Linked DNA regions of Xenopus tropicalis. The protein of the gene in region 1 interacts with the protein of each later gene in a pairwise test. Links are inferred from orthologs where the notes say so. Each region holds a gene or a part of one and is shown on either strand. Other genes may lie near its edges.

Region 1 (4,369 bases):
TGTTTCATTATTACAGAGAAAAAGAATTTTTAAAACTATTTGCTTATAATGGACTTTATGTAAGATAGGTTTCCTGTAATTTTTGGCTTTCTGGATAATGGGATCCCATACCTGTGTGATACAAATTACTCAAAGACCTTATCTGTAAAAGTTCAGGCCCCATTTCAGCTTATAAATACTATACCTGTATTACACTGAAGGTGTTTAAGTGCTGAAGATCACTAAACAGAGGATAACCAATGTAAAGAAATTGCTTAACATTTGCAGAATTCTACAAACATGTAAGATAAACTAACCTTAATAAATATTTAAAAAGCTCAGGATTCTATAGCATAACCCTACTCTATGCTTCTTGTTCTCACCCTTTTTCTTTTAGAAAACTCATTTTCCTAAATCAGGGGTGTCAAACTCAATTACATAAGGGGGCCGACATTTAAAACACAGGCTAAGTCGAGGGCCAAATTTTTTATTAATATACTTAGTAAGATACTAAGGGGTATATTTATCACAATGTGTAAAAAGCGGAGTAAGACATTACCGGTGATGTTGCTCATAGCAGCCAATAGATGCTTTGCTACTGTTGAAATCTGATTACTGATACCCCTTAGTCTTAGTTACTATGTGAGGAAAATGGAACTTGATCAGGCTGGATGGTCAGACACACTCACCAAGGGCCACATAAAACAGCCAGGTGGGCTGGATTTGGCCCCCGGGCCTTGTGTTTGACATATATGTCCTAAATCATGTGTCCTGAAGCCGAAACATTGAATTAAACTTCAATAGCCAGCACTCGTCGGATAAAAATTCGTCGGATAAAATTTCAAAAAAGCTTTATTAAAGATAAAAACCTAACATGTTTTGTGTGACTGCAAATGTATTCATAGGAAACATTGAATTAAACACCATTTTTTTGCTTCACACAAGTCCTGTGAGTGCGGTTTGTTTGTGCTTACTATTTATGTTATGTTAACCATGCACCCAGGCAGTACCTGGAGTACTCTGTGTGCACCATACTTCCAGGACTTTTAATATATATAATTTTTTTTTTTTTTCAGGGACACTGCTGGGCGTATTTGCAGAGACACAGTAAGGAAAGAAGGACAGCCAAAATTTTGGAGCAGCTCATCAAGGGAGGAGCAATAGCATTCATTCATAGCGTAGGTTCTTCAGGAACACTTTTTACCTTTAATTAAATAACCTAATATCTACCTTGATGGCTTTCATCAGAATGTTCTAGGAATCCAGATATGTGAACAGTGTATCGTTGCATTTAGTTCTACTGTACAGTAGAAGCTGACCTATAATCATTCGCTACTCCCACAATGTGCAAAATGCAAACACATCAGATGATGCTAGTATAGTAAGATGGCATAGCATATGGCCTTTTTTAAAATATTTTATTCTTAACATTTCTTTAAATACCCTAAAAGGCAAATATATTACAGAAATATTTCTATACTAATATTTTAGCAGTGTTAGTACATGTATTTATCCTGTTCACAGTTTATACAATTTAAAGATTTGCAAGTATGCAAACTATTTTTTTAAAGTTTATGTTCCTTACTGAACCAAAAATAATCTTATAAAACAAAACCTAAATTTGTATTGATTGTCACAGTATATTCTGGAAGTTAAAGTGAAAGATGGGGACAAATTAATCCCAATGCTGGAACTGGTTTAACTATCTCCTTCCTTTTAGCAAAGAAAATATATAGACCTCATTTTTAACACAAGCGCTATTGAACATTTGTTGATAATGAATAACTTGTTGTATCCTCTTATAAGTCTCAAATCTGAATGGTCCTCAGCACATATTTTTACTAGTTCTGGGCGAGAACACAAGGGCATGTACAGCCCAGGTATCAGATCTTGCTTTTCTGCTTTAGGCATTCTTCCTTTTAGTCCCAGTTATTTAATCTGATCACGTCATATTATATTTTCAATATGTGCGTGATGGCAATTTGTTATCTTGGTCAGCTGGAGGATCCATATGCTCGATGGACTGGTAGGAGCTGCGATCTCTGGAAAGAGTAATGAATCCTATGGAGAAAGATTTACAAATGTATTTTATACCAAATACTGTTACTTTAAAAAAAGATTTTAATTTAAAGTCTTAAAGAGGTTTACCAGATCATTGGGTTTAATACTAAAAACTTACTAAGTGACACCCCGACAGAGATTACAATCTGTGGCTCTGGCCTTTTAAAAGCTTATCAGCAGCTCTAAAGGGCAAACAATAGGCACTGTTTTTTGGGCAATGGGCATCAGTTTCTTTTGGAAATGATCTGGTCCATTTTATTCCACAGGAGTGAAGAAGTTTCATATATAGGTCACCACTTACTTTTAAAAGATTTGCAAATGAGTAGTTTGATGTAGAAAATTATAGTATACAGGTATGGAATCACATACAGTGCCCTCCATAATGTTTGGAACAAAGACACATTTTTCTTTGATTTACCCCTCTGCTCCTTAATTTTAAACCAAACAATTCAGACATGATTAAAGTGCACATTCCAGACATTAAAGTTATTTGCATACATTTCAGTTTCACCATGGCAGAAATTACAACACTTTTTATACATAGTCCCCCTCATTTCAGGGCACCATAACGTTTGGAGCAAAGTAAAGGTAGGTATATTAAAGTAGTCTTATTTACTACTTTGTTGCATATCCCTTGCATTCAATGACTGAAGTCTGTGATTCATAGACACCACCAGGTGTGGAGTATCTTCTCTGGTGATGCTCTGCCAAGCCTTTACTGCAGCCACCATCAACTCTTGCTTGTTCCAGAGGCTTGTCCCTTTAAGTTTCCTCTTCAGCATATGGAAGGCATGCTCAACTGGATTTAAATCAGGTGAATGGCTTGGCCATTCAAACATTTTCCATTTCTTAGTTCTGAGAAACTGCCTAAGTATTATGTCTGGGATCATAATTTTGTTGCAGGATAAAGCACCGTCAAATGAGTTTGGAAGCATTTACTGTAACCTGAGCAGATAAGATGTTTCTATACACCTCTGAATTCATTGTGCAACCGTCATCAGCAGTTACATCATCAATGAAGCTAAGTGTGCCAGTACCTGTGGCAGCCATACATGCCAAAGCCAAAACACCCCCAACACCATGTTTAACAGATAAGTTGATATGCTTTGGATCTTGGACAGTTTCTTTTCGTTTCCACATTTACCTTTTGCCATTACTCTTATCTTGGTTTCGTCTGTCCATAACACCTTTTTTCAGAATTCTGCAGGCTCTTTTAAGCACCTTTTTGCTAACTGAAATCTGGCCATCCTGCTTTTGTGAAAATGAGGACTATATACATATAAAAAGTGTTGTAATTTCTACATGGTAAAAATGAAATGTATGCAAATAACTTTAATATAATGTCTGGAATATGCACTTTAATCATTTCTAAATTTAAAATTAAGGAGCAGAGGGGTAAATCAAAGAAAAATATGTCTTTGTCCCAAACTTTATGGCACTGTATCTGCAAACCTGGTATCCAGAAAACTCTAAATGACAGATAGGCCATATTTCATTGAATCTATTTTAAGTAAATAATAATTTTAAGTTATTTAATTTTTCTCTTTTAAATTTTCTCTGTACAAAACAGTTCTTTAATTTGATTATATCTAAACTTCTTTGCATTCTGGTCTGGCCACATGCACAGTAGAATAAAGGCTGAACTCAGACGCATGCGCCAGCCTGGGGTATCAGGTAAGTGATTATAATCACTGGGGGTGCCAAATGTTAGGCACCACACCACTGATTTAACCTTTATTTCTCCTTTAAATGTTTTTAGAAGCCTTAAGGCATTATTCATTGTGCTAGTCAAGAACAATCACAGAAAGCAGGCAGGCACCATTATGTGAACACTGTCATTAAGACAAGCTTTGCGTTATCTTAAAGTCTTGTTTATGTGCCACAATTGTGTACCTGATGCCCGTGCCCATGTTGGAAGTCAACAATTAAGTTAATTGAGGTGTCAAACAAAGGATGAGTTGGAACTGTCAGCAGCTAAAGTAACCCACAAGTAAGGGAGAGAGAAGTCTTCTGTTGCACACAAACTGTACATGCAGCAGAAAACTGTGATATCCTGGGCAAGAGAAGGCCACCAAAAGTACCTAGAAATAAGTTTACCTGTCTTCTTAACATCAGGATGGCCAGCCATCTGGCAAAAATGGCCCCATGCAAGAACTTGTGAAAAGTTGAGAAATTAATGTCTTATCCGAAAGCCACTCAGGGGGAAGCATGGAGGAGAGCAAAGTCAGAAACACAGGGCCAATAACCAGCTCAAAGAGGAATAATGGGGCAGGGAGTAAATGCAGGAATTTCTTTAGAAATTAGTCACCAAGACAAGACATCTGCTTTG
Region 2 (5,021 bases), on another chromosome or scaffold:
TGATTCTTCTGCTATGCCATATATGCAGTACACAATGCACATCAATCAAATAAGTAGGCTAAAAAAGGGCACAGGTTTGAGATACAAAACAAAAGCAACAGCTTTATGTATAGTATTTTGGTACCATATTTTATTCCTAGTCTTCCTTTAAACAAGCCCCCCTATTGGGGTTGAGGTTGTAGCAAATTAAACATATGCCCTGGGATCCCAGTATCAGTGTAAAGAGTGCAAAGAAGCAATATGCTGCAGGTTAAATGTCTGTGAAATATGTACTTTCCCCTTCATCTACCAGTTCCCTCCTGCTCCAGTACTGACACTGCACACACACCTACCCCAAAACACCACATTCAGGTTTCTAGGCTCTCACCTCTCCACAGCTCTGTCCAGTAGATAAAAGAGAGCTTGAAGTACAGTGTGTTGTGCTTGCCTGCTGTTTCTGCGGGCTGGATGGTGTAGTTTAGCGGTGAAGATTGCAATGGAGGCTCCAGTTGGGGCTCTGACACTCTGGAACAAAACAGTGGATGACCAGTCACATGCACTTTGACCTATCCCTAAAGCTCATTATTCCAGGACTTTAATCCATGACCCCTGCCCTCCCAATGATTAGTTCAGTATGCTGTCAATAGATTCAATTTGATGGAATGAAGCACTGCTTCCTGCTACAATTATAAGACTGCCATTTATGTGAGTTCATCTGTAAAATATATATGACACTTACATATATCACTTCCACTCATCCTGTGCCTAGGATTATTTGTTATTAAAATACACAAGAAACTTGAACATCTTGTAAATTATATAATAATAAATGGTGCTTAGTTATGTCATCAATTAAAAGTGGTGTTTAGCGAAGTTGTGTCACATGACTCAGTTAATCATCTGTATTATAAGAAATAAAGTACCCCCAGTTGTAACATCTGAGCATAGAATAAGTTGCCTTTAGGTAGTTGAGAAACTCCTTGGTGTGTTCTATTATCCTTAGCTTTTTACAGTGAAAGGTTCTTTGTCCATGTATTTTTGTCATCCCTTAGACTGTAAGCTCTATGGAACTTCTTCCTCCTGTCTCTTTGATACTTGGCTCCTAATCATTAATGTAACTGTATTCTGTAGTTAATTTCTGTTTGTTCCATGAATTTATTGTTCTGCTGTACAGTGCTGTGTACATAAGCAGCACTATATAAATAAATATATACATGCAAACAACTGGTTATTACTTTATAAGCATTAAATAGAACAACCTTCTGACACCTAACCTCTCACCAGCACAGTAAACTTGCCACTCAGCAACTCAGAAAGTAATGGCTCTTGTAAAGGATTCAGCCGCACTATCCCTTCTCTGTGTCGGGTTTCCTGGAACACAAACATAACATTTATGTTATACAGTGACAGAAAATAAAGGTGATACAGACAGGAGACCAGGAACTTATAATAACAGATAATAATTATATAATGTTGATAAATATATAGTAATGTTGATATATAGTAGGTGCTGTGGGTACCGCCCACTCAAACATTTGTGGGAAAAAATAGCTGGCTGGCCTAGCTGGATCAGCTGGTTCTTTTCTAGAATTAAATTATATGCTTCTACGTTTCTATATGCTTTCTAAACAGATATTTTGAAGTTATATAATGACAGACAGGTACAATGGGCAGGATTGCAATGCAGAATGCTAAGGGGTGCACAAACACAAGATTTTGTGGGACGCTGCAGAATCTCATCCAGTTTGCTGTACTGTTATCTCATCAGATACAATAAGATGCTTTCTTTTTTTTATGCAGCTACAGCCAACAATCAATGTATATCAATGAGAAATAACTTAATCTTGTCAGATAAAAATGCAGGCAGGTGTGTCAGTTCAGTTGTGTCAAATGCCAAAATATTCAAGCACTTTACCAGTCTGTTTAGCTACATTATTGTTGGGCAAGTGCAGCTACATCCCATTTCTAGGATTTAATCTGCAATTAAGTCTCTTGTGGAGTTCAGATCTAGATGTGTTTGGGTTACTGTCTTATAAACGGGGGTCCTAAGTGCTCTTGAGCTACAGCTTCTAGTACCCTCTTACTCCTTTTATTTATCAGCAGGATGTTGGGAGTTGTATTCCAAAACAAGCAAATATTACATCTCTTTCCCTAGATGAAGCCATTGTTAGACCCTAAGATAAGAAAATACCTATTGTACAAAGGTTTCTCAGTGGACCACTAATTTGTTTTAATTGTGCTTGCAGATTTTGCCCTGATTACTATGAATATAATACATATATTCTGATAAAAACAATAAGCAAAACATAAGGTTACCACAAGCCCTGCGGATTTTAATAGCCCTCTAAAGAGCCCCCAAGACCTCAATAGTATGACATCATCATTTTAATATAACCTGGCCCTTAAACAGGCAGTGTTACAAACTGGCCCATTACATGCAAAGAGCTGGCCCCGGCCTTTGTGGCCTTGCCACAAATCTGGGCCTGAGAGCTGCTCCACTGGAAGACAGGGAAAAGCTTGAATGAAGGACATAGAAAGATGGCAGTTACTGTGAAATGCTAATCTGCACACATATCTCACTCTGTATGAGTGGAAGAGTTCAACTGCTCGCACAACATCAAACTTTCTCGCCATCAGAAATTTAACAGCGATGTCCCATGAGAGAGGCGACACGGAGTGGCAGCTTGTCCACAAATTCATCTCCTGCAGGAACCTGTTAGTAGCCTAAGAGGAATCAGAGACATATGGGTATTAATAGACACAAGTAAAACAGAAATCGGCCTATGGGAACAGGGTAGTGAAGGAAAAGGGGATCTTAAAAGGGAGATAATGAAAAAAGCAAACAGGGGGAATGCAAACATTTTTAAGGAGGGAAAAAATTAACAGTTTATCTGAAATGTTGCTCTATAATTTATATGTGCACACATACACACTCATATTTATACTACAAAAAAGACCAGATGCGTGTATGTATACACACACACACACGTGTATATATTTATATATATATATATATACATATATACACTCACATAAACACTTATGTCTTATGCCTGATTTCATGGCACTACATATACAGAATAATTGTGACAATAAACAAGACTAGAAGTCGCTCTTCATCTCACTATATGCAGGACTAATCACCCGCACACAGGGACTGCTTTACCTGCTCCTCCTCCTGTGTCAGAGTCCCTGCCATGCTTGCTTCCTTCCTTTTCCACAATTCCCAGGCCTTGCTCCAGACAGAGGATCCTGCAAGGCCTATGTTTTAGTGAATCGTCTTTTTTTGTCTGCTGTACCCGGATTCAGCAAAGAGGAAGTCACGCCAGGCAGGGTATAACAGATCTTTAAAAAAAAAAAAAAAAATCCTAAATTGTTTGGGGCCTCATTTAGGGGATAATATATCTGTGGGGTGGGGAAGAAGGAAACAGACGTGAAAACACAGACAGTAAAAGGAAAAGAAGCAGTCTGTAAGGCTGTAAAAGAGAGTAACAGGCACCCTCTAGTGGCTTGCATAATTATTACAACATGGTTTAAAGTGACACCAAATGGAAAGTCTTATAGATGATCTCTATATTAGCAAGAGGCCATGCTCTGCAGTTATTAGCTTTGCCTTGCTCAAGCAGTTTCTCTCTTTCCCATATGGTTAATTTGTCCATGTGCTAAATCAGGGGTCCTCAAATTTTTTTAACATGGGGCCAGTTCATGGTCCCTCAGACTGTTGGGGGGGGCCGGACTGTAGTCCTCAAACTACGCCTCCTGCGTCCTCAAACTATGGCCCACTCCCTGCTGCATCCTCCAGCTCCCTGCTCCTCTGCTCCCCGCTGTGTCCTCTGGCTTCCTGCTCCCCACTGCGTCCTCCGGCTCCCAGTTCCCCGCTGCATCCTCCAGCTCCCTGTTCACCCACTTCCCGCTGCGTCCTCCAGCTCCCTGCTCCTCTGCTCCCCGCTGTGTCCTCTGGCTTCCTGCTCCCCACTGCATCCTCCGGCTCCCAGTTCCCTGCTGCATCCTCCAGCTCCCTGTTCACCCACTTCCCGCTGCGTCCTCCAGCTCCCTGCTCCCCCCACTGCGCCCTCCGGCTCCCTGCTCCCCCACTCCCCACTGCGCCATCCGACTCCCTGCTGTGCCCTCCAGCTCCCTGCTCCCCCGCTGTGCTCTCTGGCTCCCCGCTGTGCCCTCCAGCTTCCTGCTCCCCCACTGCGCCATCTGACTCCCTGCTGTGCCCTCCAGCTCCCTGCTCCCCCGCTGTGCCCTCTGGCTCCCCGCTGTGCCCTCCAGCTTCCTGCTCCCCCACTGCGCCATCTGACTCCCTGCTGTGCCCTCCTGCTCCCTGCTCCCCACTGCTTCTGCAGACAGGTAGTAGCCAGGGGTGAGAAAGGCAGCAGGGGCCGGGTAAATTAACTTGGGGCTGGATCTGGCCCGCGAGCCGTAGGTTGAGGATCCCTGTGCTAAATTTTTAAATGTGTTTTTCAGTCAGAGTTTATATCTGATTAAATGCATTGTAATTAAATATATTCTAAAGGAAGCATCCATAGTTATTTTATGCACAAAGAATCACTGAGCTGCTGAAAAGAAAAAGATAGCCTCTTTTTTTTTTAAAAAAAAGATGAAGAGTTGCCTATGGCAGGATTTTCATCAACTTCATAGTAGAGTGAATACTTTGTTGCAAAGCTTTCTCCACAGGGTACCCAAGAAGGTCCAATTTTGAATGCATTGAAAATGTCTTCTTATTCTTGTGATCTTGTGACAGGGGTACTTTGGCAGCTGGGCAACATTCCTGGAAGCAGGACTTGCACCAGCCTCGTTATGGACCTGGAGTGCTATTTCTTTGTATTCTTTTTTTAAAAAGATGTTTATTTATGATTTTAACAAAGGTGAGTTACAGAACAAGATTTATAACTAGCCATTCTTAATTCACATTTCTACAAGCATCTCCCCTTTGAGTACAAGAAAACTTAGATATCTTTTTGTAAGTGTTTTGTATGTGTATTTGGACACAAGGCTGTATTTAGGTCAGATGCTGTCCTGGGCGCTGGATCTAA
Region 3 (5,229 bases), on another chromosome or scaffold:
ACCAACCGCACCCCTTCCCAGCAGGCACAGCGGCACTTTACCTGCAAGCAGCCTTCTGCCAATACGCACTAGTGACGCTTTGTTTTTAATCCGACTAGCCAGCAACCTGCTGCACAGGAGTCACATACATTAACAGGGATCTCTAGTTATTTGAAAAGAAAGTAAAGGACAAGTCAACACAGAACATAAGAAAAGAAAGCAAAATTCTAAGCAACTTTGCAATAGACATTCATCACAAATTCGTAATGGTTTTTGAGTTATTTGTATATATAATTGATATTAGAAGTAATGTTTGTCCTTTTCCCTCTTGAAACAGTGTAACACAAGGCAGCAGCCTGACAGACCTGACTCGCTGGGGGAGACTGACCCCTGAAACAGTGTAACACAAGGAGCAGCCTGACAGACCTGACTCGCTGGGGGAGACTGACCCCTGAAACAGTGTAACACAAGGCAGCAGCCTGACAGACCTGACTCACTGGGGGAGACCGACCCCTGAAACAGAGTAACACAAGGCAGCAGCCTGACAGACCTGACTCACTGGGGGAGACTGACCCCTGAAACAGAGTAACACAAGGCAGCAGCCTGACAGACCTGACTCACTGGGGGAGACCGACCCCTGAAACAGTGTAACACAAGGCAGCAGCCTGACAGACCTGACTCGCTGGAGGAGACCGACCCCTGAAACAATGTAACACAAGGCAGCAGCCTGACAGACCTGACTCGCTGGGGGAGACCGACCCCTGAAACAGTGTAACACAAGGCAGCAGCCTGACAGACCTGACTCGCTGGGGGAGACCGACCCCTGAAACAATGTAACACAAGGCAGCACCCTGACAGACCTGACTCGCTGGGGGAGACTGACCCCTGAAACAATGTAACACAAGGCAGCAGCCTGACAGACCTGACTCGCTGGGGGAGACTGACCCCTGAAACAGTGTAACACAAGGCAGCAGCCTGACAGACCTGACTCCCTGGGGGGAGACCGACCTTTGCAACAATGTATAAAAAGTAACAACCAGGAGTTCAGCAAATGCTGCTCTCGATAGCAATTACATTTACAGGTAACTATTAAAACACTGAAAAATAATAACTCCATATTAGAATAATGTTTCCTTTTATTAGGCAAAAACTTATTTGTGGGGTTAACATGTCCTTTAAATTGCAAGCAACTTTCAATATAAATTAACAATATTAGGTTTGAAACGTATTTGAAAATGCAGGGTAAACTAGCAGAGAGACTGAGAAAAGCAAGTTTAGAAAGGCTGAGGAACCAACCCCACGGCTTAATGTTTAAGCAAAACAAAAGGAATGCGCGGGGTTAAATATTGATTAATATTTGATTAAAGACTCTCACATGGGAGAAACATTTCAGCTGCTTTACTCAGCACCAATAGAGTATTTGTTTGCATGCACGGCTGTTTGTGACTACTGAGAATATATAGCAATAATGAAAGGGAAATATCCGACTCTGAAGGAGATTTGCACACGAGGAGCATTAGGTCCCGCTGGCCGCTGTGCTGCACACTCACACCCACTTACTCACAGCCAAGGGAACACAAGCGCCTTTCCATATGTTCAGCCTGGGCTGCACGCTGGGCACAGACATAACGACCAAGCGCAACAAATGCAGCCGCACACACTGTGACCCCTGACACTATCAGAGGGTGCAGCTGGCAATGCGCTTGGGTTATAGGGTCCCTCGCACTAATACCATATGGAACACGGGGGGGGGACAATAGATCGTTAGGCACAAGGCTTCATTGGCCTTTCTGTATTGCAATGGCCGACTGAGAGCCCCCAATAAACTGCCAGTTCATGTGCCCTTGATCAATAGCCACTCACTGGGCCCTGTTTCCCCAGTAGCAGCCCTGGACCCCCCCCCCCCCCTTAGCTTACCTACATTAGCTACTTACCCCCTAATTACTCAGAACTGATGCCTAAATCCGGGGGCTGGTCACTGCCATGGACCCAAGAGCTTACTGACCCGCTCTACTATCCCACACATACATATACACACACACACATATACACACACACACGCAGTTATTTGCCCCTGGGAGAAACGCGGCCCATCTCACATACAGCTTGCAATTAACCCCTGCTTTCCCTCACACATGCCCTAACTTGCCCCTTGCCTACTCACCCCATGCCTATTTCCCCGATTACTTGCCCCCCTCACATATGCCCCAGTTACTTGCCCCCCTCACATATGCCCCAGTTACTTGCCCCCCTCACATATGCCCCAGTTACTTGCCCCCCCCACATATGCCCCAGTTACTTGCCCCCCTCACATATGCCCCAGTTACTTGCCCCCCTCACATATGCCCCAGTTACTTGCCCCTACCTCCCCACAAACACCAATTCCTTGCCCCCTGCCTACTCACATCAACCCCAAATACTTACCAATCCTTCATCTCACAAATGCCCCTAATTACTTGCCCCCCCACACACATTCCTCCTGTTATTCCCCCCCACATATGCCCCAGTTACTTGCCCCCGCCAATTATTTGCCCCTACCTCCCCAATTCCTTGCCCCCTGCCTACTAACAGAGGAGCCTTGCTTCTCACACTTGCCCCCTGCTACCCCACACTTGCCCCCTGCTACCCCACACTTGCCCCCTGCTACCCCACATACACCCTATACCCCTAATGATGCGCCCCAAGTTCTCACACACCCCTTACAGTCCCATTCACATGTCCCTGTTTCCTCACATAGTCCCCAGTGACCTGCCCCTATATTGGGACGAGTTCCCCTTTAAGCTGGCGGCTTGATCTCCCCGTTAGCAGCCCAGAATATACGGGGTGCCAGACGGGACATTACAATGAGACAGCGGACAAACTTGCCCACACACAGCTGAGGCGCCTCAGGCCCGCCCCGCACAGCGCTACGGAGAGCCCCAGTACCTGCCTGGGCGCCGCTAGCCGTGCTGGAAGCCCCGGGGAGTCGGTGCCGCGGTTCCTCTCGCTGCTTCTCAGTCTCACACGCGGTCCGGACTGTTTACCAGCAGCGCGCACCCATCCTACCAGCGCACGCTGTCCCGCCCACACTCACGCCTTCCTCCGCCTCATTGGCTAATCAACTGAAAGCTGGCGTGTGATTTGTCCTTGCAGCTGTCAGTCAGTCGCGTTAGTCAAATGCAGAAGGGGAACAGAATGTGGGTGAGGCCAATCAGCCTTCAATAACACGAGGTACAGCCAATAGGAAGGCGCGTTGGGCGGGTCTCCCAGGTGCTGCGTTAGAAACATCAACATGTTGTGCAGTTTGGCCTGTCCGCTGGCCCCGCCCCGACTCTTTGCTGAGGTATAGCGTGTTATGTGCAGCTCCCTTGGTATTGCAAGGGGCCCACCTTAGCTTTGTTACTGGCGATAGAGTATATTATATACAGTGTCCATGGTATAGCAGGGGGCTCACGCCCACCTTAGCTTTGTTACAGGGATAGAGTATATTATATACAGTGTCCATGGTATAGCAAGGGGCCCACGCCCACTTTAGCTTTGTTACAGGGATATAGTATATTATATACAGTGTCCATGGTTTAGTATGGGGCCCACCTAAACTTTATTACTGGGGATAGAGTATATTATATACAGTGTCCATGGTATAGCAAGGGGCCCACGCCCACTTTAGCTTTGTTACAGGGATATAGTATATTATATACAGTGTCCATGGTTTAGTATGGGGCCCACCTAAACTTTATTACTGGGGATAGAGTATATTATATACAGTGTCCATGGTATAGTATGGGGCCCACGCCCACTTTAGCTTTGTTACAGGGATATAGTATATTATATACAGTGTCCATGGTTTAGTATGGGGCCCACGCCCACTTTAGCTTTGTTACAGGGATAAAGTATATTATATACAGTGTCCATGGTTTAGTATGGGGCCCACGCCCACTTTAGCTTTGTTACAGGGATAAAGTATATTATATACAGTGTCCATGGTATAGTATGGGGCCCACGCCCACTGTAGCTTTGTTACAGGGATATAGTATATTATATACAGTGTCCATGGTATAGTATGGGGCCCACGCCCACTGTAGCTTTGTTACAGGGATATAGTATATTATATACAGTGTCCATGGTATAGTATGGGGCCCACGCCCACTGTAGCTTTGTTACAGGGATATAGTATATTATATACAGTGTCCATGGTTTAGTATGGGGCCCACGCCCACTGTAGCTTTGTTACAGGGATATAGTATATTATATACAGTGTCCATGGTTTAGTATGGGGCCCACGCCCACTGTAGCTTTGTTACAGGGATATAGTATATTATATACAGTGTCCATGGTATAGTATGGGGCCCACGCCCACTTTAGCTTTGTTACAGGGATATAGTATATTATATACAGTGTCCATGGTATAGTATGGGGCCCACTCCCACTTTAGCTTTGTTACAGGGATATTGTATATTATATACAGTGTCCATGGTATAGTATGGGGCCCACTCCCACTTTAGCTTTGTTACAGGGATATAGTATATTATATACAGTGTCCATGGTATAGTATGGGGCCCACGCCCACTTTAGCTTTGTTACAGGGATATAGTATATTATATACAGTGTCCATGGTATAGTATGGGCCCACTCCCACTTTAGCTTTGTTACAGGGATATTGTATATTATATACAGTGTCCATGGTATAGTATGGGGCCCACGCCCACTTTAGCTTTGTTACGGGGATATAGTATATTATATACAGTGTCCATGGTATAGTATGGGGCCCACGCCCACTTTAGCTTTGTTACAGGGATATAGTATATTATATACAGTTTCCATGGTATAGTATGGGCCCACGCCCACTTTAGCTTTGTTACAGGGATATAGTATATTATATACAGTGTCCATGGTATAGTATGGGGCCCACGCCCACTTTAGCTTTGTTACAGGGATATAGTATATTATATACAGTGTCCATGGTATAGCAAGGGGCCCACGCCCACTTTAGCTTTGTTACAGGGATATAGTATATTATATACAGTGTCCATGGTATAGCACAGGCCCACGCCCACTTTAGCTTTGTTACAGGGATAAAGTATATTATATACAGTGTCCATGGTATAGTATGGGGCCCACGCCCACTTTAGCTTTGTTACAGGGATATAGTATATTATATACAGTGCCCATGGTATAGTATGGGCCCACGCCCACTTTAGCTTTGTTACAGGGATATAGTATATTATATACAGTGTCCATGGTATAGTATGGGGCCCACGCCCACTTTAG
Region 4 (4,960 bases), on another chromosome or scaffold:
GATGAGTGGTACTGTATAAAAAGTTTCAATTGTAAAACACTGGTAAGGTGGGTTTGTAATTATGTCCACTCCAACTTACACCTTTTTTCTTTCAAGAAATTATACCCTGGGAGGTAGCAATGCAACTTATCAAATTTAATGACAAGCATATATTTCTTCAATTTAGTCTCTGGGCTCAGACAACGGACATGGATTGAGTTAAAGGGGTGGTCCACCTTTACATTAACTTTTAGTATGTTTTAGAGTGTCCTATTTCTAGCAACTTTGCAATTTGTCTTCATTATATATTTTGTATAGTTTTTGTTGCACTTGCTTTCCTCTTCTACACCTTTGTAACATTTAAATGGGGGTCACAGACCCTGCCAGCTGAAAAACGAATCCTCTGCTAGCTCACAGTTTTATTATTATTGTTATTTTTTTTTTCCTTAACTTTCTATTCAAGCCCTCTCCTTCCCATTTCTGTTTCTCATTTAATCCACTGCCTGGTTGTTAAGGTAAACAAGCCACTAGCAACCAGTAACTTAAAACCAGTTGCAAATTGTCTCAAAATATCAATGTTTATGTCATACTAAAAGTTAATGTTAAGGTGGACAGCTCCTTTAAACATAATCAATGGCAATCAACGACTGTCACAAGAGCAGGATTATCAGATGAAAGGTCATCTACATGTACATCTATATCTGGTGTCCCTTGATGAAAAATAAAGCAACAGTCCAGGGAGTTTCTACAGCAGTGCTGGAATCTTACATACTGGTACCTCCCAGTGAAGAAAGGGTTTCCACTCATGACACAGAGTCTGTGCCTAGAAAGTAGCAGTAGTTTGGGAGCTGTGGCTTCCTCGCATCAACAGACTAAAGGTGGCCATACACTGGCTGATTGTAGCTGCCGATATCGGTCCCTTAGACCGATTCGGCAGCTTATCGGCCCGTGTAGGGGCAGCAACGACGGGCATGCCTGACCAATTTCTGCCCTGAATTTGGCCAGATATCAATCGGGCAGGTTAAAAGATTTAGTCCGATTGGGGATCACATTGACTCGTTGATGCAGTCCCCGAACCGACTTTGCCTATACCCGTCGTTATAATTCAGTAGTTTGGGCCCAGGGTTAAATGACCGAATTAGCCTAAATTTGCCCAATATCCCCCAGCCGTAGGCGGGGAAATCGGGAGAAGACCCGGATCTTAACATGTATGGCCACCTTTAGTATTCAAACTTGTCTAACAGATGAATCAGCTGATACACAAAGCACATAGATATTGGTTGAATCCACTGGGTCCCCACACACATACAAATAGTTGTCCAAAACTTAATTTTATTCCACTTCTCAGAGATTCTTTATGCAAGTTATAGTACATAAAAGGTTCAATGGTGCCCTGAAAAATGCCCACTTAATAAACATCCCTGATGCTAATTTAAGATTTTTTTCGTGCTTTAGAGTTACTGGGTCTTTCAAACGAAACCGAGAAATCCCACCCACTAACTGCTTTGACTGTAAATGTGGCCATACACATGTAGATTTTTAAAAGATGTGTTTATACGACCAAGCTTATTGTGAATTGTTTAAAATTATGATTTGTCCATCGACAAGAACAACCATTTCAAGTGATATTGTCTAATTGAAGTCCAAACCTGAAGAGGATGTGATGTATTTGCTTTTGTATACACTGTTTTCAAGCTGTATTTGGTCCTGCAAACAATTTTGTAACATACTATGGACATTATGGTGATTTATTGAAATGAACACTCATATCAAAGAATGAATGGTCGGTACATGTGCAGTCAAAATCTGTCCATCCCATTATTGGACAAATTTCATCATTTAAAGGGACCTGTCACCCAGACATAAAAAAGGTGTATAATAAAAGCCCTTTGCAAATTTAACATGAAAGCCAAATTCTTTTTTTATTAAACCATCCATTTCTGTTCCAAGGGTATTTAAAAGTCTCAGCTGTCAATCATAATTTGCTGGCCACGCCTCCATTCCTCAGGCATAGAGGCAGGGCATTCAAACTACTTTCACTTTCCAATCTGCACTTCCTAAGTGTCACTGCACTCCTCACACTTCCCCTCCCTCCTCAAGGTCTATAATTGTGTAGCAAGTGCATGGGAATGGGCCTTGGTCTCCTATTATGGCACATACACAAGGTTTAGGGGTGATTCAAATGTTGCCTTAAGGTGGCCATACACGATAAGATCCGCTCGCTTGGCAAGGTCACCAAGCAAGAGGATCTTCTCCCGATATCCCCACCTATGGGTGGGCGATATTGGGCTAATTCGATCTTATTCAAAATTAGAATGACGGGTATAGGCGCAGTCAGTTCGAGGACCGCATCAACAAGCCGATGCGGTCCCTGAACTAAATTTTTAAACCTGCCCGATCGATATCTGGACAATTTCAGTCCAGATGTCGGTTGAGCATGCCTGCCGGTAGTGCCCATACACGGGCCGATAAGCTGCTAAGTCGGTCTAAGGGACCGATATCATCAGCTAGAATCAAGCCACGTATGGCCACCTTTAATTACAGTGCCCAAAAAAAATGGGAGCGTGCCTGATGGCTGTGATTGTGAATTCCAAAATTGAAGTAAACAAGATTTAAATAATTTATACAGTGTAACTAAAGTTAATTTTGCTCAACTAATATGACTTTGGAATTATATCATAAGGTGATAGGCCCCCCCTTTAAAGACGAAAAATTTTCTGTCATAAGTACAGTCAGTGAATTTAATCGCCAGGCATGGGTTCACAGTGAAATTCTGCATCAAAACTGGCAAGGCCAAGCAAGTTGCACAGTAAAAGCATATATTTGATAAAGCTATATACTATACAAGTTTTCAGGATTGGAACATGAACAACCTTTTAGGAAAGGGAATCTATTGTTTCCCAGTATGTGTGCCTACTTTATATGACATGCATGAGGAATATGGGCTCACCAATCCAGAACCTGGAAAAAGTCCTTGCTCTCATCAGGTGGCTGCAGAGAAGTACATGTGGGGCAGAACAACTCAGCCCTGCTCATTTCAGCCTGACATCTCCAGCACAGGCGGCTCTGGGAAGTCACACAGAAACTTCTTAAAGAGTAAGTGCAGCTTGAACGCAGGGTACTACGGGACATTGCACTTGTTGCACTTTTTATACATGGTAATCGGGGCGGCCAAGAGAAAGCCCAGAAGCCCCGGCTCACTGGCGGCTTCCGGCTCCACCAATGCTGAACCACCATTCGCATCCACTGACTGGCATAGCACTTTAATACAGCCCTGGTAGGCTCCATTGCTAAAGCAGGGGAATGAGCAGTAAGAGCCGGAAATGGTAATGCATCAAGGACAAGCTACTTCCACCTCCCAAGTCCGTCATTGCCCAGCGTGCAACCTAACTCTCAGCATTGACCGTGCCGCGGCTCTCCTGCGTCTCCTATTGGCGCTTTCGCTTCCTGGAATGGAACCAGTTCCCAGTCCACGTGATTGCGCTTCCTACTGTGATTGGCTGTCGCCTTTAACTGTACATGGCGGCAAAAGGAAAAACTGCACCTTTTCCCGGTTTCGTTATCTTGGAATTGAGGTGAGGGGCCTGATGGTTATGGTTTCTAAAGAGTGTGGGTTTAGGATCAATGTCTGTACTGTCAAGTGTTATTATCGCTAATATGTGCGCTTCAGGTAGAGGAGGGGCGCCATAGGTGCTGCCAGTCTGGAGATGGTCAGAGCTGTTCCACTGCTGGAGAAAGGCAGGCAGTCACCTGGAGCTAAACATAAGCTTTCCAGGTTTGTGATCAGTTTCTCACAGGCAAGCATTATAAATATTAGTATTCATCAAAAGAGTCTACCGAGAGTATAAAAACTACGGAAGAGCAGTAGGGCCACCAAAAAAAATAATTATAATTATGACTTTAAAAAGTCGAAATTATGACTTTTAATCTCATAATTATGACTTTAAAAAGTCGAAATTATGACTTTTAATCTCATAATTATGACTTTAAAAAGTCATAATTCACCGGAATTTTTTTTTTTTTTTGGTGGCCCTACTGCTCTTCCGTAAAAAACAAAGGGGCAGTAGGCTAGAGCATTTTATACCGGAGAATTCTGATTTTTCTTCTAAACAATCACAAATGCAGACGAATCAAATCGTTTGTATGTATGGATTATGGGGCCAATTTATTAAAATTCCAATTTGTGTTTTTTTTTTTAATTTTTACGATTCTAGAAAAAACGCAGCGAGAAAACGTGAATGAAGATACATTAGAGATTATTCTTAAAAAGTTGGAAGAAAAACTTTCAATAAAAGTCAAAGATAATTGTTTCTAACAACTTTATTTTTCCCAGTTATTTAAACTTTTGGGTTTTTTAGCTTTAAAATGGAAGGAACAATGTGATTCTCGCCAGATAAGTTGCACAAGTTTAGTTATGGTTATTTTTTTCACATCCACTTTTTTCCCCCCCCAGAAACTCAAATTTTGATAAATCTGCCCCTAAATATAATGCACTGTAAAGCTGGCCATATACACATAGATATTGTTATATACTGAATGAACTTTGATTCACTGTGACCTTTCCTTTGGAGTGCCAGTTGATTTTAGTGTGGTGGTCTGTTTTCCTTAGGTTTGTTTTTGGTGCCAAGCCCCAAAATGTCAGCTAAGGGAAGCATCCATCACATGACAGTGTCTGTCAAGATTGATAAAAACACACAAACAGACTTTCAAAGAACACCTTTTTTGTACATGGATGGCCACTTTTAAGGCCGTAACACACTGCGAGATTGTCTCCATTTGGCGCCAGTGACTAATCTCCCCGCAATGCCATCCCACCGGCTAGAATGGGGCATTTCAGAAGTTTCCTCTCAAGGCTACAGCGGTCCCGCATGTGCCATCCCATCAGTGATTTACATTCTAGCTGGTGGGATGGCATTAGTTGCGACGCGACTAATCTCCCCATGTACCCCTGCCCTTACCCTGTGTGCCTTTAAAACACTAA
Region 5 (3,624 bases), on another chromosome or scaffold:
GAATTCCCTGCAACAGGGACGAATGGTGACTGCAGGTCATTTGGCCTTCGGTGTTTGTCCCTATCTGTACTTAGGGGTAGTTCACTTTTAAATTGTTAAGTATGACGTAAACCAGGGATCCCCAACCTTTCTTACTTGTGAGCCACAGTCAAATGTAAAAAGACATGGGGAGCAACACAAGCACCATAAAAGTTCATGGAGGAGCCAAATAAGGGCTGTGATTGGCTATTAGGGGCCTCTATGCACCCTATCAGCTTACAGGGGCTTTATTTGGTAGGAAATCTTGTTTTTATTCAACCAAAACTTGCCCCCAAGTCAGGAATTCAAAAATAACTCTCTGGTTTGGGGGCACTGAGAGCAACACCCAAGGGGTTGGGGAGCAACATGTTGTCCCTGAGCCACTGGTTGGGGATCACTGACATAGACAGTAATATTCTAAGACAGTTTTGGTTATTTAGCTTTTTGTTCAGCAACTATCTGGTTTCTAGGGTCTAATTTTGTCTAGCAACCAGGCAGTAGTTTGAAATAAAGATTGGAATACATTTAGGAGGGGGACTAAATAGGAAGTGATAAAAAATAACAGTAACAATAAAATTGTAGCCTCTCAGCTATAGTGTTTTTTTTTGCCTGCCGGGGGCAAGTGACCCCTATTCGAAAGCTAGAAAGAGATAATTGAAGGCCAACTGAAATTCATCTCACTTTCTACATTATACTAAAAGTTAACTCAAAGGTGAACAACCCCTTTAACATTAAAAAAAGGATCAATTGTTAATAGTAGGGATGCACCAAATCCACTATGTTGGGGTACGGCCGAACCCTGAATCCTTTGTGAAAGATTCTGCCAAATACCGAACTGAAGCTGAATCCCAACTGAAGGGTTAAATAGAAATGCATGCTTAAAAAGTTTTTTAATTCTGTGTTTTCATGTGACCAAAAGTCACGTGATTTTTAAGATTTGGATTTGGTTGGGACAGGCCAGATCTGAATCCTGCCGAACCCTGGATCCGGTGCATTCCTAGTTAATCGCACATTTTGATGTGTATAATAATAAATAATAAACACTCACCTTCAGCATTTCACATAAAAACATTTATTAAAAAATATAAAAGCAATAACGAAGCATGATCTCTACAGCGCAGAGTGACAGTATTGTGCCAGATTTAGGGAGGAGCTTGATGGAGCAGACCTCCCCTGAGGGGTGGGACAAACTGATGGATGGCAGCACAATGGAATATACATGGGTTTCCCCGGATGTATATCACAATGAATTAGGGACGTAACTCTTTATCTGGGACGGCAGAGATGAGGGCCCTTGGGTACATTCAGTTTTGTGTTTAGCTTATGCACAAAAGGTAAATGATGCACAAAATGACATACAAGGCTTACAAAATAATTCAAACAATGAAATTCCGTTTTGAAAAGATGCATCCAAAAGTTGCACGGCCACCTTTAGCCAAGAGACGTATAGGCAGGTTAAGGAGGATGAATACAGAGGCGCAGAGTGAGATGAGGTGAAGGTGCAAGGAGAAGCGTAAGCTTAGGAAGAACAAGGAGAGGCACTAAGAAAGTCATTACTGCATCACAGGTTTAGCTCTTTTTCCATTCTCTCTCTCAGTTTGTATTTCTGGATCTGGAAGAGACAAAGAACGAAAGCTGAAACCAACACAGTGTCCCCGGCAAAGTCCCCGTCCCATTCCCAATACCTGAAGCTTCTACCGCCTCGAGGCACATTCTACCCGTTTCGCCAAATTGAGCTTTACCTTTCCAGAAACGGTGAGCGGATACTCATTCACAAACACAATGTAACGTGGGATCTTAAAATGGGAAATCTGTCGGCAGAAAGAAAAAAGAGAAATCTCATCAGAAACACAGGGATAAACTGAGGTTATCTGGAACAGAAAGGGCCGGTTCACCTTTAGGTTACCTTTTAGCATGTTACAGAATGGCCTATTCTTAGTAACTTTTCAATTGGTCTTTATTTTTTACTTTTCCTAGTTTTTTAATTATTTGCCTTCTTCTTCTGCCTCTTTCCAGCTTTCAGATGGGGGTCACTGACCCTGGCAGCCAAATAACTATTGCTCTGTGATACTCCATTTTTATTGTTACTTTATGTTATTTATCTGTCTATGTGGGCCCTTCTCTATTCATATTCCCGTTCCGCTTACAAGCTGAAATTCCAATGTTGAAAGATGCAGAACAAAAGCTAAATAATTCATAAACTGCAAAAAATTAAGACCAATTGCAAGTTGTCTCACAATAGCACTCGCTACATCATACTTCAATTAAAAGCCTGAAGTCTAAGCAGAAGCTTTGTTGCTATTCATCCCATTCTCTTCATGTTTTCTACTCTCCCCCTACACATATTAATTCTTCCCATTACACTATTTTACCTCCCTTTGTCCTCCTCTGCTTTCCTTCTACTTTTAATACAATATTCTCAGTTCTCCCTTTTTTTCTTACCATGTTCCTTTTTTAATTTGTGTTACTAACTCATTCCTTTCTTGTTGTCCTTTCTGCTTCCCGCCTGTGGTACCTTGGCTCCAAAGAAGAAAATGGGAACTTCCCCTTTAAAAAAGTGCTTGAATTGGGGCAACGCTGGCTTACAACTGTGGAAGGGGCTATATGGGACATGCCAAAAACAAGTCCGACAATGATGTACTACACCCACTGTTATAATAAGCCTCACACACCAACACTACCTGGTTTTACCCACTTTAAAGCAAAGCCATTTTGCCTTATCCTTCTGCTGAATGGTTTGTTGGCCAGTAAGCATGGATTTACAAAAGTAGTACAAAAGTAGGAACCCTACGGGGGTGTAAGTACAGAGGGAGCAGACCCTGCAGTCACAGGGTGACAGAGGATGGTAGAGGGCCCAGCGAGGCCCTAATTAGTGAGCAGTTTCAATATATCTCAATATAAGTTATCAATATTTTGGGGTGCTAAACTGAAGGCCCAGTAACATCTAGTTACGCCACTGGACATCTAAAATGAAAATTGTGAGTATATGGCTTGGTTGGCAATTGAACTTCAGCAAAACAGCCCCCCTTATGTATAATGTGTGTAAACACAGTACAACCCCAGCATATTTTATATCCCCCCACAATATTTAATATATATCATCCTCTCGCCATTCCACATTTCCCTATTTTCTTCTTCTTTCCCGTTCTCTAAACCCCTCTCTAAACTCCCCTCTCTTCGTCTGTATAACACTTCTCTGTCCCTCCGCATTCCTCCCCAGTTCCAGCACTGCCCTTATAATAAAATGTTTACATCCACAAAGCCAGGGTTACTATGGCTATACATGCCAGAGGGCCAGCCAATGAGATATTAAACTACCAGTTTCCAAGCACAGACAACTCATGATTGGCCAAGTTGTTTGTACCTTCAGTGGTTCCGTATCCCATGGTGGTACCTACCTTTCCTTTACAATATTCCTTGATTTCGGCGGGAGTCGCAGTCTTGCCATCATAGAGGCGAATACAAGCGCAGACCTCCTCCCCCATTCGCTCATCCTTCACTCCAATTACCTGTGACGGGAAATTCAATGCAGTTTGTCGTTGTACAAGGAAAGTCCTTGGCCAATTCTTCCTACCAGTGACTCCATTCATTCCCTTCCCATTACCT
Region 6 (4,509 bases), on another chromosome or scaffold:
CCAAATTACAGAAAGATCCCTTATTTGGAAAACCCCAGGTCCTAAGTATTCTGGATAACAGGTCCCATACCTGTATTATCAACATGTATTTATAAAATGCCAACATATTCCGCAATGTTGTATAACAAATGGGTACATGGTATACATTAAACATACAAAACAACCAATGACCAATATAAGCAGTAAAGCGGGCCCGCTCCAAAGAGCTGACATTTCAATGAACTAACACTATAAATACCATGGAAAAGTAAACTTAATAAAAATACAGAAAGTGAAACTTTTGCTCTGTATAATTCAATCTTGTATTGTATTGACAGACTAGGTATGACAATTCAATGAAACAATACTGCAAGCACCCTGGAAATGAAAGGTGGATAAAAATACAAAACGGGAAACTTTTATTCTGTATAGTGCAATGTCTTATGTGTCTCAAGTGTCTCATTTACCATCTCAAGTCCATCTCCGCAGCACTGGGTCACCAAAAATTGCTCTGTGATTATGCACTTTTTGCATGGTTACAACAAGTATGTATTTCCTACCTTTACATTAAAAACCTGACTAATAATATGTAGAATATTTTTCTATATTAAGAAGAAAAAGAATGATAAAAAAGCTTATATATAAAAAGCTTATTTACCTAAACCTTAAAAGGTCCCTTTGATCATGCTTAGCATTTATTTGCTAATAATTATATGTTTTCCCACACACTTTGTTTAACAATGCAGCAATGCATAAATATGTCATAAAGAAACAGATTAAAACAAACATACAGTTTACTGGAGGCTTTTGTACCAGCATGTTTAAAAGACATGTATAGAAACTCAGGAGATTTATTTTTGCATTACTGACTTCCAACCTACCACTCATGTATATCCTGACATTCCACAGTAAGAGGGAATAAACAAGATCGATTATTGCAATTTCTTTATATTCCTGTAAAACTCAACCCAAGCGCCCACCGCCATACAGGCCTGTTTCTGCTATGAGTCAAAGTAAGAACCTTGCTTCAGGTTGCACTTTAGGCTGAAAAAAATCACCCCACGTAATTTTAGGACTCTGGCACACGGGGAGATTAGTCGCCCGCGACAAATCACCCTGTTTACGGGCGAATAATCTACCCGAAATGCCATCCCACTGGCGAAAATGTAAATCGCCGGTGGTATGGCGATTTCAGTGAAAGTTTCCTCTCAAGCCAACTTCTGCACAAATGTTTTTTTTTCCCCTTGAGCACCAGCTATTTAAGGTAGAAAAACCACACACTTGATTTTTGACAAAATTTACCCATTGGTGTTCATAGAGCCAACTGTATTATTGCAGTGTATTCTGAACAAAAACAATGAATACACTGATGTATTTCACTGGTACACTTACCACCTATGGCTCTCTGCACTACAGTCTTCTAACTGAATGGCTTTACCAGCAATACTTTTACCTACAACATAAAAAAATAATAATGTAATTGTTGAGAAAGAAATACAGACTAAAAACTGACAGAAAACAGATGCATGCATGCATACCATGTAAATACAGAATACACTCAGGGGCATTTCTGGGGCTGCTGCCACCCCCCCCCCCCCCACACACAACCACTCCATACCACTTTGGCATTGGAGCGGGTCAAATAGGGGCCGTACTTTTCGAGACAAATTTTTTAACTGTCAGCTCACTGGCAAGGTTCTCACCTTCAGGAAACAGCCATGAACACACTCCATGGACTCCACAGCACATTACTTCATGGATTTCTATATACATATTCTTGGATATAGTGAGCAGCACCATAGCATTTGCCTAATTTTATTGCAATTATCCAAGTATAAATAGAAGAAGGTTCACCTTAGCCAGGTCTGGGTTTGTGGGAAGGCCACAAAGTGCTGCCTGCTTTCTGCAATAATAGGGAACTGCAACAGGGGGATTGTTCAAGATTTCAATCTCCTGTCCCAGTGCAGCTCCTGTTTTCTTCTGTAGAATGACTTATGGGGTGGGCACAGCCCCTATCAGTACTTTCTCTCACGCACGTATACACCTAGGGAGGGGGTGGCAGGCTGGGTATGTGATTGCTAGCCTAGGTGCACATACCATTGAAATCCAGCCCTACCATTAGTCCTGTTTCCAGGAACAGGCCTGCTTTAAAACCCTGGTGCCCTATCCGGGTAAACAGACACCCCCTTCCCCCAATGACTTTGGGGTAAGAAGTCTCCACTTGCTGCATTTTGTAGGAATTAGGGAAGATATGATATATCATTTCTAACATTTTCAGCCCAGGTACAATATGAGGATGAGGATGTTACCATATAAGGGCCAGGTGGGAAATTGAGAGAAATTTACCTATACTGGGGAAATATGCACACAGCAAACTTAATGTTGTAATATAAGAGAGGCTGTAACCTTTAGTGGGCGTGGTTTAAATAGGGAGTGGTAAAAAAGTGCATGAGCTATACATTTTTTTTTGTGCAGCATGCGACACGCCCACTCTTCCCAAGAAACCATTGAGAAGGAATGTACAGCAGATGTATGTATGTTTTTATTTATATAGTGCTACTTATGTACTCAGTGCTATACTGTATCTTATAATGTATAATGAAGCAATGATAAACAGATTGTATTTTTGCCAATTTGCCTAATAAATTTTTCTTTAAAAAAAAAAAAAAAAAATCATTGCATGTATTGCAGAAGCATTAGCTTGGTGCTATCTTTTACCTATATTATTTGTTAATCCTTCATTAGTCCAAATCCAATAAAAATATCATATACTGTCTGTATACTGGGCTCAATTATATTCTGTAATGGAGTACACGTGTAAAATAAATCCATATATTGTTGGGCAAAGTTTTACTGTTTGTAAGATTCAGTGCTTTAATTTGTGCTTTATGTGTAGCTTGTTCATACTCTGGTCTTGATTGTTTCTAATACAACTCTTACCATTAGCTGCATAGTTTTTTTTTTCTTCAACATCGGATGTCATATCAAACATATCTCCATATGCCCGTGCCAGTCTCCACAGAAATTCCACTTTGTTTCCATACTAAAAAGAAAAAGAATTCATTACATTTTATTTACACAGCTGCATTAATCTGGTTCATTTATTTATGCTGGGTGAAATCTACCTCAGTACAGTTACCAATAGAAACCAAATTTTTTTCATTATTCTACCCATAGCAGACTGATTAAAGCTAATTGATGATTGGTTATTATGGGTATCTGCATTGAGATGAATTTTCCAGTGTTACAAAATGAGTCCCATGTAAAAAATGTAAGTTATATAATAGTCACAACTTTATCCTATCTGTACCTTTAGTTCACATTTTATTTTTCAATTGTTAATAATGTTCACTCAACTTTTGCAAAGCAACAGAAAAATAAAGATTTTTGAAAAGGTTTTTGTTATAGTCATAATAAGGAAGTGTAGTGTTAAAGGAACATTTAGGATGCAGGGCTCCCACAGGAGAATCATGGAAAGGTTCATGTTAGGGATTCACTGAATCCACTATTTTGGGATTCGGCCAAAACCCAAATCCTTTGTGAAAGCTTTGGGCGAATACCGAAGCGAATCATATAGGTATCATTTCATTATGGGCAAAACTTTAGACATTTATTAAAAAGTAACTGTTATGAAAAAAAAACAAAAAACAACCTTTTCTTTATTATCAAGCATCATTCGAAATGTGTCTTGTTTATCTGGTTCGGAACCACAGTGCCCAGTATCTGCCTGGTAAAGAACAGAAAGTAGCTCTGCTTTCTCTTCTGTAACCTTAGCATTTTCTGCATTCAGATGTTTCAGCCCTCGTTCCTCATCTGATTCTAGCTCAGTGTCAGTGTGAGCTGTTATGTACCTAAAATGCAAAATAAACTGTTAAACTCAAAAGTATAATGGACTCTTATGAGCAAAAAGGATGCATTGTTAATATTTGTAAAAACTGTTTAACAATTTGATAAATCTTACTCTTAATAATTCACTTTAATTTCCAAATTGCTTACCTTAATGGTCAGCAGCAAGGTTAAATTACTTATATTTGGGTTCACTCAGACTGCAGGTTAAATTTAACTACTTATACTCACTATACACACATACATGAAATATAAATATAATTTATAATGAACATTTCTAGAGGCCTGGAAAGATTACAACTATAGACTAGAAAGGGAAGTTTGAGAACAAACTTCGTGTTGGGTTGAACAACGTGAAGTCACTGAATGAAATCTGATCTGTTGTTAGCTCCGCCCACTTTTTCTAACCTTGGACCACAATTATATAGTAAAAACCACTGTGCAAAGTTTGGGGCCCCTGGTTTTAATAGTGTCTGAATAGCAGCAATTTAAATTTCCCCACTGAAAGTCAACGAGTGACATCTGATTGGGGACCCTGACATTAAACATGTGAGAATGGCAGCAGTTAAAATGTTCAACACTGAAAACAACGAAAGAAATGTGATTGGCTTATGGAGGCCCTGCCTACTTTTTCTAACCTTGAGTGCGTAGTCACCCCCTGACTCGTTGTGCAAAGTTTGGGAA
Region 7 (3,508 bases), on another chromosome or scaffold:
GCCACAGCCTTTTATGATATTGGTTGCCTCGTCGAACCGCCATACATGCACTGAATATCATACAATCATTGGTGCGTGTGTGGCCAGCTTAAGCGGCTGAATCAAATCAGCCAATTAGATCAGGAAAATGCAAATGAAAGGTGCAAGCTTTATACATTTGCTTCTTCCTCTTTGCTGTCTGCGATCCCCTAGCTTTTGAAAAAACAGAAACTAGCACCAGAGTGCTTATGCTTCCATGCTATAGAATAACCCACTATTTCACTGTGTCTAAAATGCACTTGCCAGAGAGCTGGATTAAGACGGGTGTTAGAACTATAAATTATATCTAGGACCAGAGAACCCTCAGAGAAAGGTTCAATATACCACATAATCAATGGCTAAAGTTTACAGGGTATGAGACACACTCATGGAAACATTTTGGGTACAAGGAAAAAAATGAATATGGCTAGAATTTCTGTATTTTATATACAGAGTCTACTTTACCAGTCTACAGGTTCTAAAGGTTACAACATAATGATCCAGACTTTTTAAACAGTGCTCAGGAGCTCCCCATCTTGAATTTTGTTAGGAGAGTCAGTGACACTGCACATGCTCAGTGTGCGGAGCAGCTCCTGAGAAGCTGAGCTTAGGGGTCATTGCAAATTGTCAAGCAGAAAATGATGCTGGCCTGTAATATAAGCTTATGCAGAGTACACTGGTTTCTGGGCTGACATAATTTTCTGATAAGCCATATATTGTGACATTTATATTCTATATATACTGTAAATTGAGTGGGTTCCTAAGCTCGGGTAAGTAACAGCAGCACAGCGTATGTGTAGGGAATCAGCGGAAAAGATGGGGGGGGCATCTTGGGGGCACAGATCTTCCCTGCTAAAGGGCGGTAGTTGCCTTGAACTGGCAGAGAAGCCCAAAACATAAATGTTCAGCATAACTACTTCTTTCTTAAGCTTTAGTTCTCCTTTAATGAAGTCCCAGTGCTCAAAGTAATTGTGGCAAATACGGATCAATTCTCTACCTGTAGGTTAGGCAATGGGTGATTATGTGATTATGAAGTACAATGTGGTTTGAATGACACTATTGGTGTTATTTGTTGAAACTTTCACTGTGTATAGAATTTTTATAATAACCTATTGTAGAATATTTCCGCATGTCTATATCGCTGCATAATTCTGATGTAACCTGTAAGTTTCAGTAGCAAAAGCAAAAAAAAAAAAAAACACCAATAAATACAACTTATTAGATACTGATTGACAAAAACTTGTATACAAAAATATTTACTGATGTCACAATATAAATACAAGGAGATGTTGTTGCTGTGTTTTGTCCTATTTTTAGAGGAAGCGCCCTAGGATCTCAGTGCTTTTCGTGCCATTTCTAGTGCTCCTACTTGGGTCTCATTTCCACCAATAAATCCACTGGCATGAACAAAGATGCAGCCTGGTATCCCGCTAACAGAAGAGAGATCATCTGCGCGAAGTCCGCGCCAATCCTCGGGGAGAGACAGACTGTGGGGTTAAGAAGATCAGTAATTAAAGGGAAACTATACCTCTATAAAATATAATGCATATAACAGCTCATATGTAAAACACTGCTTCAAACTAAATAAATCATTTAAATCCACTTTTCTAGTAGCATGTGCAGTTGAACAATCCTAAATAGAAAATTGCCATTTTAAGTACTAAAGGCTGTTTTGTGGGATCATAGGATTCAGGGTGCACACAAACAAACCAAGGGCACACATACATGTTAGGTCTCATCAGCCAGTGAATGGACAAAGTTCTGTCTTTTACTCCCACACTTCTCCCTGTTACAGTTAGAGCTGCATTATTTCCCTCCAGATGTGCGGTGGGCATTAGTACAACCATGATAGTATGTTAAAATAAGTTTCCATTTTGCTGCTATGCTTATTTTATGTGTTTAGCCAAATACTTTCTGTATCCAAAGAAACTAAGTACGGAGCAACATCCACACTGCCGTTTAAAAAATCATTTCTTTATTCCATCTCCTTAAAAACATGTTGTGCTTATACAGAAAAAGACCATACGCTTGACGCGTTTCGTGGTGTCTCACCACTTTTTCAAAAGCTGCATGGTACATCCATTCAGAAAATACCCTTTATAGGTAAACAAAACTCCTCCCACACATCTTGTTAACCCTTATAGTGCATATATCATTATTAAAAACAATGCTACCCAGTAAAAAACACTGGAGCTTATTATTTAAAGCTTATTAACATCCATCAGCCACAGGCAGTTAAAGAGATACAACAAATATGTAAATGTACATATATACACTACCCCTATATATGTGTGCACATATCTATATATACCCATATACAAATAACCATCAGTCAATAGAAACAGGTTAATTCCCACTCTCTATTCATACCTCCCAATGACTCTATAGTACCCAACTGATAAATCCAAAATGCTTCTCTACGTAACAATCTATTCTCAAAATCACCTCTCTTTATATTAAAACCACCTGAATCTATAATCTGAAAATGAAAATCCATGTTCCCTCCATGTTTATCAAGGGAATGTTTAGCTATAGCCGATTTGATATCCCCTCTACCTAGTACATATACTGGGAAAATATATGTTATTAAACAATATTTTAATTGTACCTCACAAAAGGTGATATATTTGATTACATGTAAATGTGGTGCTCAATATGTAGGTAAAACAGTCAGGAAAGCGTGTGAACGTATTTTGGAACATCTATCGGCCATAGGTAGAGGGGATATCAAATAGTTTCTTTGGATACAGATTATTTTGCCGTCTGGGTGCCGGCTGTGCGTTTGAACACACACTGCTGGATCTGTAAGTGCTCCCGTGAGTTTTAAAAAATAGCCAAATACTTTCTACCACACTGTCTCAACGTAACGTGATGTTGCATTTTAGTTATAAAACAGGCAGGACAGTATATTTTATAATTATTTTTAAGATCCCTATTAACATGTGAACAAGAAGTGTGCTGAATACTGTTACCGGTTCAGGAAAGTGTTTGGGCCTGTAGGGACACATTGCACCCTCCACTTTGCGCTCTGGTCAGGATACAGTACATATTTCACTTGCTTTTCCAGACCAAGCTCTTTCTCTAGTTGGAAGAGGTGTTCCTTCCATGGGCAGCCACCCTGTGCCAGGACAATCACCTCACCACTCTCATCCACCTGTGCCAAAAATAAACAATTTCATCCCAAAATGCCAATTTCTCATTCAGATGTGACATGTGTTATCCATGAGACGAATGAAATGAAACCAAAATGGGAGTCACATACCTGAATTCTTTTCCTGATCGCCTCCTCCACTAAAGCCCGAGCTGGTAGCCAAGAGCGATGATAGAAATCCAAGCGTGACACAAACTCTGATCCGGCCAATTCCATTGCTTTTTTAAAACCAGCCTGTGGGAAGGAAGGGTAGCAAGGAGAAAGTATTTAGGAGCCCCACCAATCATGCAGACTGTTCCAAACAAGCAGATAAATCAATTCGTACAGCAGTTTAAAATA

What was found.
Region 2: the proteins of agtrap (region 1) and ptpn9 interact in binary tests that used the Homo sapiens proteins (3 or more experiments, as listed by UniProt). The two-hybrid records come from large-scale screens. The link is inferred for Xenopus tropicalis from reciprocal best matches to the Homo sapiens genes AGTRAP and PTPN9.
Region 3: the proteins of agtrap (region 1) and coq8a interact in binary tests that used the Homo sapiens proteins (3 or more experiments, as listed by UniProt). The two-hybrid records come from large-scale screens. The link is inferred for Xenopus tropicalis from reciprocal best matches to the Homo sapiens genes AGTRAP and COQ8A.
Region 4: the proteins of agtrap (region 1) and hscb interact in binary tests that used the Homo sapiens proteins (3 or more experiments, as listed by UniProt). The two-hybrid records come from large-scale screens. The link is inferred for Xenopus tropicalis from reciprocal best matches to the Homo sapiens genes AGTRAP and HSCB.
Region 5: the proteins of agtrap (region 1) and acsf2 interact in binary tests that used the Homo sapiens proteins (3 or more experiments, as listed by UniProt). The two-hybrid records come from large-scale screens. The link is inferred for Xenopus tropicalis from reciprocal best matches to the Homo sapiens genes AGTRAP and ACSF2.
Region 6: the proteins of agtrap (region 1) and rmdn2 interact in binary tests that used the Homo sapiens proteins (3 or more experiments, as listed by UniProt). The two-hybrid records come from large-scale screens. The link is inferred for Xenopus tropicalis from reciprocal best matches to the Homo sapiens genes AGTRAP and RMDN2.
Region 7: the proteins of agtrap (region 1) and c12orf10 interact in binary tests that used the Homo sapiens proteins (3 or more experiments, as listed by UniProt). The two-hybrid records come from large-scale screens. The link is inferred for Xenopus tropicalis from reciprocal best matches to the Homo sapiens genes AGTRAP and MYG1.

Annotation. Positions count from the first base shown.
Region 1 is NC_030683.2:65,695,414-65,699,782, reverse strand, and holds the end of agtrap (type-1 angiotensin II receptor-associated protein-like), read right to left. Parts: intron 2,041-4,369; coding exon 1,940-2,040; 3' UTR 809-1,939; downstream 1-808. UniProt on the Homo sapiens protein: Appears to be a negative regulator of type-1 angiotensin II receptor-mediated signaling by regulating receptor internalization as well as mechanism of receptor desensitization such as phosphorylation.
Region 2 is NC_030679.2:93,340,179-93,345,199, reverse strand, and holds the start of ptpn9 (tyrosine-protein phosphatase non-receptor type 9), read right to left. Parts: upstream 3,221-5,021; 5' UTR 3,179-3,220; coding exon 3,146-3,178; intron 2,704-3,145; coding exon 2,560-2,703; intron 1,351-2,559; coding exon 1,261-1,350; intron 505-1,260; coding exon 368-504; intron 1-367. UniProt on the Homo sapiens protein: Protein-tyrosine phosphatase that could participate in the transfer of hydrophobic ligands or in functions of the Golgi apparatus.
Region 3 is NC_030681.2:7,741,821-7,747,049, forward strand, and holds the start of coq8a (atypical kinase COQ8A, mitochondrial), read right to left. Parts: upstream 3,053-5,229; 5' UTR 2,909-3,052; exon of another isoform or gene 2,905-2,908; intron 1-2,904. UniProt on the Homo sapiens protein: Atypical kinase involved in the biosynthesis of coenzyme Q, also named ubiquinone, an essential lipid-soluble electron transporter for aerobic cellular respiration.
Region 4 is NC_030677.2:150,460,134-150,465,093, reverse strand, and holds the start of hscb (iron-sulfur cluster co-chaperone protein HscB, mitochondrial), read right to left. Parts: upstream 3,422-4,960; 5' UTR 3,268-3,421; coding exon 2,930-3,267; intron 1-2,929.
Region 5 is NC_030686.2:43,840,403-43,844,026, forward strand, and holds the end of acsf2 (medium-chain acyl-CoA ligase ACSF2, mitochondrial), read right to left. Parts: coding exon 3,623-3,624; intron 3,528-3,622; coding exon 3,417-3,527; intron 1,830-3,416; coding exon 1,761-1,829; intron 1,631-1,760; coding exon 1,580-1,630; 3' UTR 1,071-1,579; downstream 1-1,070. UniProt on the Homo sapiens protein: Acyl-CoA synthases catalyze the initial reaction in fatty acid metabolism, by forming a thioester with CoA. Has some preference toward medium-chain substrates. Plays a role in adipocyte differentiation.
Region 6 is NC_030681.2:42,152,375-42,156,883, forward strand, and holds part of rmdn2 (regulator of microtubule dynamics protein 2), read right to left. Parts: intron 3,831-4,509; coding exon 3,632-3,830; intron 3,023-3,631; coding exon 2,920-3,022; intron 1,433-2,919; coding exon 1,372-1,432; intron 1-1,371.
Region 7 is NC_030678.2:147,124,753-147,128,260, forward strand, and holds the end of c12orf10 (UPF0160 protein MYG1, mitochondrial), read right to left. Parts: intron 3,404-3,508; coding exon 3,281-3,403; intron 3,173-3,280; coding exon 2,991-3,172; intron 1,506-2,990; coding exon 1,346-1,505; 3' UTR 1,248-1,345; downstream 1-1,247. UniProt on the Homo sapiens protein: 3'-5' RNA exonuclease which cleaves in situ on specific transcripts in both nucleus and mitochondrion. Involved in regulating spatially segregated organellar RNA processing, acts as a coordinator of nucleo-mitochondrial crosstalk.